Linked DNA regions of Kluyveromyces lactis. The protein of the gene in region 1 binds, or shares a complex with, the protein of each later gene. Links are inferred from orthologs where the notes say so. Each region holds a gene or a part of one and is shown on either strand. Other genes may lie near its edges. The genes, in order: CET1 and CEG1.

The links.
Region 2: the proteins of CET1 (region 1) and CEG1 are in contact, whole or in part, in a crystal structure (PDB 3KYH), measured with the Saccharomyces cerevisiae proteins. The link is inferred for Kluyveromyces lactis from reciprocal best matches to the Saccharomyces cerevisiae genes CET1 and CEG1. Residues at the interface, in NP_015096.1 of Saccharomyces cerevisiae: Ile246, Trp247, Ala248, Gln249, Lys250, Trp251, Lys252, Pro253, Thr254, Lys256, Ala257, Ser260, Ile261; in NP_011385.3 of Saccharomyces cerevisiae: Leu262, Trp295, Val301, Arg304, His307, Phe308, Gln310, Pro311, Phe312, Asp313, Glu316, Trp337, Leu340, Lys341, Glu344, Gln345, Pro346, Leu347, Asn348, Gly349, Arg350, Asp370, Asp371, Lys372, Leu373, Asn374.

What each region holds. Positions count from the first base shown.
Region 1 is NC_006039.1:1,398,131-1,402,090, forward strand, and holds CET1 (polynucleotide 5'-phosphatase), read left to right. Parts: upstream 1-1,734; coding exon 1,735-3,405; downstream 3,406-3,960. Other genes in the region: USV1 (Usv1p), read left to right, coding at 1-139; KLLA0_C16027g (uncharacterized protein), read left to right, coding at 785-1,351; ALG5 (dolichyl-phosphate beta-glucosyltransferase), read right to left, coding at 3,562-3,960. UniProt on the Saccharomyces cerevisiae protein: First step of mRNA capping. Converts the 5'-triphosphate end of a nascent mRNA chain into a diphosphate end.
Region 2 is NC_006038.1:194,816-198,283, forward strand, and holds CEG1 (mRNA guanylyltransferase), read left to right. Parts: upstream 1-1,525; coding exon 1,526-2,926; downstream 2,927-3,468. Other genes in the region: DNA-binding E3 ubiquitin-protein ligase SNT2, read right to left, coding at 1-1,150; RSM23 (mitochondrial 37S ribosomal protein mS29), read right to left, coding at 3,035-3,468. UniProt on the Saccharomyces cerevisiae protein: Second step of mRNA capping. Transfer of the GMP moiety of GTP to the 5'-diphosphate terminus of RNA via a covalent enzyme-GMP reaction intermediate.

The DNA.
Region 1 (3,960 bases):
CTCTTTGCCTCCCCCATCTATCTCATATCCTACGTCTAGAGCCCAATTGATCTCGACGATTGATTCGGAAGCTCATCAGACTTCGTTAAGAAAAGTGTCAACTCCAAAGAAACTCTCTTTAGAGCACATCCTATCATGAAACATAAGGAAAAGAAAACACACCCTCACGAACTAAAGACGGAAATAAAGAGTACCTCTCATTCATTCATTCCATACTTCAATTCTCAATGACTAACCACTTTTATCATTCATTAATATATTACGTTTTCCATTTCCTTTTGCACTTTTTCAATTCCAACTAGCTCTTACGTTTCCACCTTTGCTACATAATTTATTGTATATTTACCCCACTGTTTTTACCCGCACCATGGGCACCCTCAATTATAGTCTGTTCTTTCAGAATCTGACACATCTCTCATCTGATCTTAATTCGACTTGCTTACATTGAAAACTGAATCTCAATTGACTTCTTACGAGGTACGATCGTTCATCGACGTGGGAAGCAACGCTTTTGGAAGCATGATACGTCTCAAACGATTGTGTTAGTAACCAATCCCTCCTCATTTGGGTATGTGGGATATACAAAGAATGGTTCTTATGACTATATTATTTTTGGAAGCACGTGATCATCATTTTCTTTTTCGTTCCTTATCCTTTAAAGTATGGGCAGGATTTCCTTGGAAACGAGAAATCCAACTGTTATCACAACTACAATCCAAAGGGAGGGGTAAAAGGACCAAATGGACAAAACAAAGTAAAGATATCCAGAATAACACTTTAAACAATGTCTAATACGACACCATGGCAGTATACAAGTACGGGGTCTCCGCAGACTCCAAGTGCAGTGAGTGCGAATTTATTTGGAAATAGTATGAGTCTAAGTTCAACAAGCAGTACAAGCAGTTCAAGCGTTGGGAATAATAACAAGAGTAGTATGTCATCTGGCCAGAATATTGGCATGCTGGGACCGGCTCCTGGTATGCTGAATATGAATATGAACATACCTATGGGTGTTGATTCTACGTCCAGGCTGGGATCTGGAGCAGGAACTGGAGTCGGATCTTTGATGTACAGTTTACCTCAGGAATCGCTTCTCAGTAAGAATATGAGCAAATCGTTCGAGGACGATTTATTCTTTTGTCCAAGGTCATTATTATCTAAGGAAGAGCTTTCGCAGTGCTCGCAGATAGATTTGTTGTACAACCAACACCAGCAACAAATACATCAGAACCATCATCAACAACTGCCCCTACCAGTTCCTTTACAGCAACAACAGAACCACCAGCAACAGCAACAGAGACCACGTTTCAATCCATATACTTCCCAAAGCTTCAACCCTGGTGCAGTTTGAATTCTCGGGCTCCTTTGCAGCAGCAGTTCCTCGGCTGCTGCCTGTGAGATACCCCCCACATACCGGGGATGTTGGTTTAGTCGGATGATTATATGAAATGCAAGTCATGTGACTTGAATTTCTTCTTGTTACCCGGTCCCATGGACAATCCCTGGCATGAAGTAGCACTTTTCCACAATTTATCAACGTACATCATTATAGATACCAATGCATGTATGTATTTATGTACGTGTGTTCACATGTATATGAACGTCAGTTATATACTTTATATTACCCCCCATTTAATCAAGTTAGTTTATTTCGGTTTATTCAGTGTTCAAGCTAAGTAGGTGCAAAATCAGGCTGCCAATTCAATTCACAGTTTAAAGCCAACTCCACTAATAATGAAGCCTAGCAGAGGATTGTCACTCACCGATTTGGTCAACCATGATGACGCTCCGCCCTTGAATAATGGAGATAACAATGTAAAACAAGAAGAAGTGCAAGCTGAGAATCTCGCTACAAATCCAGCTTCTGTTTTGGCTCCAGGCCCAGTCATTGTTGATACTTTACCACCAGTAGAAGCTCCTGTTAGTACTTCCGATACTGGTAATACTAGTCATACTGGAGCAGCACCTCAGACAGCAGTAACAGCTGAGAGTGATGAGACTGATACGGACGATGAACCGGGGGAAATTGTGTTTGAAAATACTAAATTTAGGTTCGATGACGAAGAACAACAACCACAGAAAGATAAACTGGTAAAGGGCACTTCTTCGGAGAAGAAGGACAAGCAAGTAAACGCCGCAACTAAGGAGATTCAGCTGGACTCAAAACCCGTCAAAGAGCAATCTCCAAAAACAAAAGATGAAGGAGATATTCCCGTAGAGGATGCGGATAAAGCTGATAATAAAGTGGAAACGCAAAAAAAGGAAAACGGGATCAAACAAGAAGTCGAACCAGTGGAACAAGATGGTAAGAAATCAGTGGAACCTGCCAAGCAATCCAAAGAGGATTCGAAAAAGGAGAAGGACATCTTTCAGCAAAAGACAAGTAATGCTTCTGTGAAGAACAACATCAAGAAGGACTTGAAGATCCTAAGTGAACTCTCTTCCTCTTCGCTACCTAAAAGATACAATGTTCCGCCTATCTGGGCAAGAAAATGGAAACCTACTGTCAAGGCTTTACAAGCCATTGATTCTTCAAATCTTAAACTTGACGACTCTATTTTAGGATTTATTCCAGAAGATGACTTGACAAAATCCGTCCAAGATTGGATTTATGCTACGTTGATTGCAGTAGAACCGGAACTAAGGCAATTCATTGAAGTGGAAATGAAATACGGTCTTATCATTGATCCATCGACCTCTAATCGTGTTAACCCTCCGGTGTCCTCTCAATGCGTTTTCACAGATCTTGACTCCACAATGAAGCCGGATGTTGATGAAAGAGTTTTTGATGAGTTCAACAGATACATAAAGAACTTATCTGAATTAAATGAAAATATGGGAAAGTTTAATATAATAGATTCTCATGCCTCAGACTTGAGCTATAGAGTAAGAACTCATACGGAAAGGCCGAAGTTTTTGAGAATGACAAGAGATGTTAACACCGGAAGAATTGCACAATTTATTGAAAAACGGAAAATTTCACAGATTTTATTGTACTCCCCAAAGGATAGTTATGATACCAAGATTTCAATCAGTTTGGAACTGCCTGTACCCGAAAATGATCCACCTGAAAAGTACAAGAACCATACTCCAACAGGTCATCGTTTAAAGAAACGTACCAGTTACATCCATAATGACTCTTGTACCAGATTTGATATCACTAGGGTGGAAAATAAACCTATTAGAGTCAATAACAAAAATGAAAAAGAACCTGAATCTGATACAACGTACGAAGTTGAACTGGAAATCAATACACCTGCCCTCTTAAATGCTTTTGATAACATTCAACATGATAGTAAAGAATATGCAGCTATCGTGAGAACCTTTTTGAATAACGGTACCATTGTAAGAAGGAAGCTTTCATCTTTATCCTATGACATTTACAAAGGTTCGAATAAGCTTTGAATCCCATAATCACCTACTATGTTACTTTCAGATATTCTATAGTTCTATCTATCTCATACCAGTATAAAAGCTTGGGTTGTACTCAATGTTTCATGAAAGTAATCTGATAGAATATATCCTTACTTGCGCTTTATCTTCGCGCAAATTCTATGAAGCTTATTTATCGCTATATATGCCTAGTATATATGCTAACCTTATGATGACTAAATCCTTGGCCATGTTAATACTGTCACGAGCCAAATCCATTTTGGAACCGTCAACTTCATGCCATGAGATCGGTAGCTCATTGATTGGAATATTTTTACGCAACGCAACGATCAAGATTTCAACGTCGAAAATCCATCCTTCAGTGTGTAACTTAGGGAAAATTTCCTTAGCAGCCTTCCTATTAAATAATTTAAAACCACATTGTGTGTCCTTGATAGATCTAATACCGAAGATGAACACCAATGCATGTAAAGAGTACATTAAGAAGTTTCTGATAATTGTTCGCTTGACAACTGCATCGGTGTTAACCATATGAGCACGTGATCCAATCGATACCTCGGGTGCATC
Region 2 (3,468 bases), on another chromosome or scaffold:
GGTTGTTCTGCTTTCCGACACAATTTGAACAAATCCAAACCACACCTTTTGCCGGCTTCTTTTCTAAGGGCGGGTCCATGCACCACAGATGAATCGATATCTTACAGTCATCACACTTGATAGAAGACGATTGGTGGCACCAATCGCGACATTCGCCGCAACGCAAATCCCAGCTTTGGTCTTCGGTTCTTTTGCCACAGACATATTTGGTAAGTAGGTTATCCAGTGGGAATTTATCCTCATAGAAAATGAATGGGAATTTACTAGTTAAAATCTTGAAATACGGTAGATCAGAAGCAACTCGCACAGCCATCTGATCTGTTTTTTCCATTTGGTAATACTTTAGTGTATATCTATCGAAAAGTTGGTTGAAGTAGAAACAATTGGGTCTTGAGACGTATTCTGTTAGCTGATCAATTGAGGTAAATTCTTTTTGAAATTTGACATTACATTTACCACGGAATGAGTAAATTGGGCAAACATCATTATGAAGTGAAGCGTATAGCATTCTGGAGCTTGTACTATTTGTTCTTTCCTGGATATCTCTGGGTCTATAGTACCAATTCATTTTTAACTGAAAATAAATCGCAGGGAAACTAGTTGCCAAGTGTAATGAACGCGATATGAGTGAACGAAACTCCTTTTTCGGCACAAACTCAACTATCCTACCAATATAGTAGGGTTCTCCAGGTGGTTCTGATACCATAAATATGTGCTCATCTTTTTTCAAGACAGCCGATCCGTCAGATAGTAGCAATTGCTTAGAAACGTCAACGGTCATCTCATCGATATCCAACATGGTACTGAACCTTGCGTATTTCTTGAATGAGTTAGGTAGAGAAGGAATGAAATTCCACGGCGTGTTCTTGTCTTGCAAGAACGACTGATACTTGAAACTACTCTTCTGTGACTTCTTTCCATTGTTCGCCTTCTTCTGAATGCCATTCTTCTTTATAGTTTCACCCTTTTCAGACTTCTGTTTCGAAGAGTTCGCCTTCTCTAATTGTTTAATCTTCTTCGCCAACGCAATGTCGGCTTCCTTCTCATTATAACTCACATTCTTGGTCGCAGTTCGCCTACGACTTGTGTACTCATTGCCATTTGAAATTATTATCTCATCTGGCGAATTTTGTCCTGAGACGACAGTCATCACTAGCCGGAAGTAAGCTGATGCAAATTGCTGTTAAATATCACAAGTGAATATCAATTCTTCAAATGCAACACTTTTGCTAGCAACTCCGGATGTATCCTGTATTCCCTTTTGCACTATTTCTCTCTTGGTATGTTGTTGCTCCTCCTCATATTGAATCCATATTCATATCCTGCATATAGCGTTTTTATATACATCTTTCGATATTGAAAATAATTGGAAAGCATTTTACAATTACTGAACCAGATGAAAATACGTAATAAGGTAAACAGCAATAGATTAAGGCAGCCTGAACTTAATGAACCAAGGCAATTGATATTGCATACGTGTGTTTTGACTGTCCTTTTTTTTGCCTAAGTTTATAACTTAATTGCCATGGACAATAACAGAGTTGCACCAGAGATTCCTGGTCTAAGACAACCCGGACAAATTACTAATGATATTCGAATGTTGATGTGTAAGCTACTCAATTCAGCGAAACCCGCTAATACCTTTCCGGGCTCTCAACCTGTTTCTTTCCATCTGGCTGATATTGAGGAGAAGTTACTTGCGCAAGACTATTACGTATGTGAAAAGACAGATGGATTGCGTGCGTTAATGTTGATAATGGTGAATCCAGTTACAAAAGAGCAAGGGTGTTTTATGATTGACCGTGAAAACAACTACTATATGGTCAATGGATTTAGATTTCCATGTTTGCCCCGTGCCAATAAAAAAGAACTCCTAGAGACTTTGCAGGACGGTACGTTAATTGATGGTGAACTTGTCATGCAAACTAATCCAGTGACCAAGTTGAAGGAACTGAGGTACTTGATGTTCGACTGCCTTGCGGTAAATGGTCGTTCGTTAGTTCAATCGCCTACAAGTTCCCGTTTGGCTCATCTTGGCAAAGAGTTTTTCAAACCTTATTACGATTTAAGATCGTATTTTCCAGATAGATGTTCCACTTTCCCATTCAAAATTTCAATGAAACATATGAATTTCAGTTATGATTTGGCAAAAGTTGCAAAGACCTTGGATTCACTTCCACACGTATCTGATGGTCTAATTTTCACTCCAGTACAAGCGGCATATCATATTGGTGGTAAAGATAGCTACCTTTTGAAATGGAAACCAGAAGTAGAAAATACTGTGGATTTCAAACTGATCATTGAACCTCCTGTAGTAGAAGACAAATCTTTACCTAAAAGCGATAAAAACAGGTTTTACTACAATTACGATGTTAAGCCACTTTTCCATTTGTACGTTTGGCAAGGTGGTAATGACGTGAACAATAGAATACAGGACTTCGAACAACCCTTTACTAAGAGTGATTTGGAGCTTTTGGAGAGAACCTATAGAAAATTTGCAGAAATAGAAATCGACGACAAACAATGGAATGAGCTCAAGGCCATGGAGGAGCCATTGAACGGAAGAATTGTAGAATGTTCCAAAGATCAGGAATCAGGTGCATGGAAACTACTTAGGTTCAGAGACGATAAACTCAATGGTAATCACGTATCAGTCGTTCAAAAAGTCTTGGAAAGTATCGGTGATTCTGTTTCATTGGATGATCTAGAACAAGTGGTAGATGAAATGAGATCTCGCTGGAAAGAACGTGAACAAGGACTGAAAAATGCACAAAAACAATTCAACCATCAGGCTTCTGCGAGATCGTCGCTGTCGCAGCAACATTCAACCGAACCAGAGCAGTCGCAAGATCAACCAAAATATGTAGACGATGACGATGATAATTGGTCTGATGACGAGCCAGACACAAAAAGACAGAAGATTTAAGAATCTTGCGTCAAGTTAAAAGCATAACATATACACGAGCATATGTGCTCATATTATATTTCTTTCCTGTATTTACATGGGTTTTTTTGTAATATATAATATGTACAATTAGAATGGATATAGTGTAATACTCTTGAGCAATTCCCTTGGATTACCATTACCACTTAAGAAGTACTTTTCTTCGGTAAGCTGTTCGAAGGTTTTGTTCTGTAAATCTTTGTCAAGTACGATACCCGCCTTTTGGTAGAACTCCATCAATTTGGCAACTTCATCTTTATTAAGTTTGGTAACTTCGAACTCCTGTACTTTACCCTTTAGTAACTTTTCGGCCAAAATTTGTTCATAGTGGTATCTGGTCAAATATGGATCGTGAGGAAGCTTTTGCAAACCAATTGATAACGTTCTATTGGTTCTATCCAAACCCGAAGTAGCCAAAACAACACAGCTGTCCTTAGCAGCGAATTGCAAATCGCCAGAGACTAAATCAAAAATAGATTGACCAACCTGGAATTTTAAAATATGAATATTTTTGTTGCTTGTGT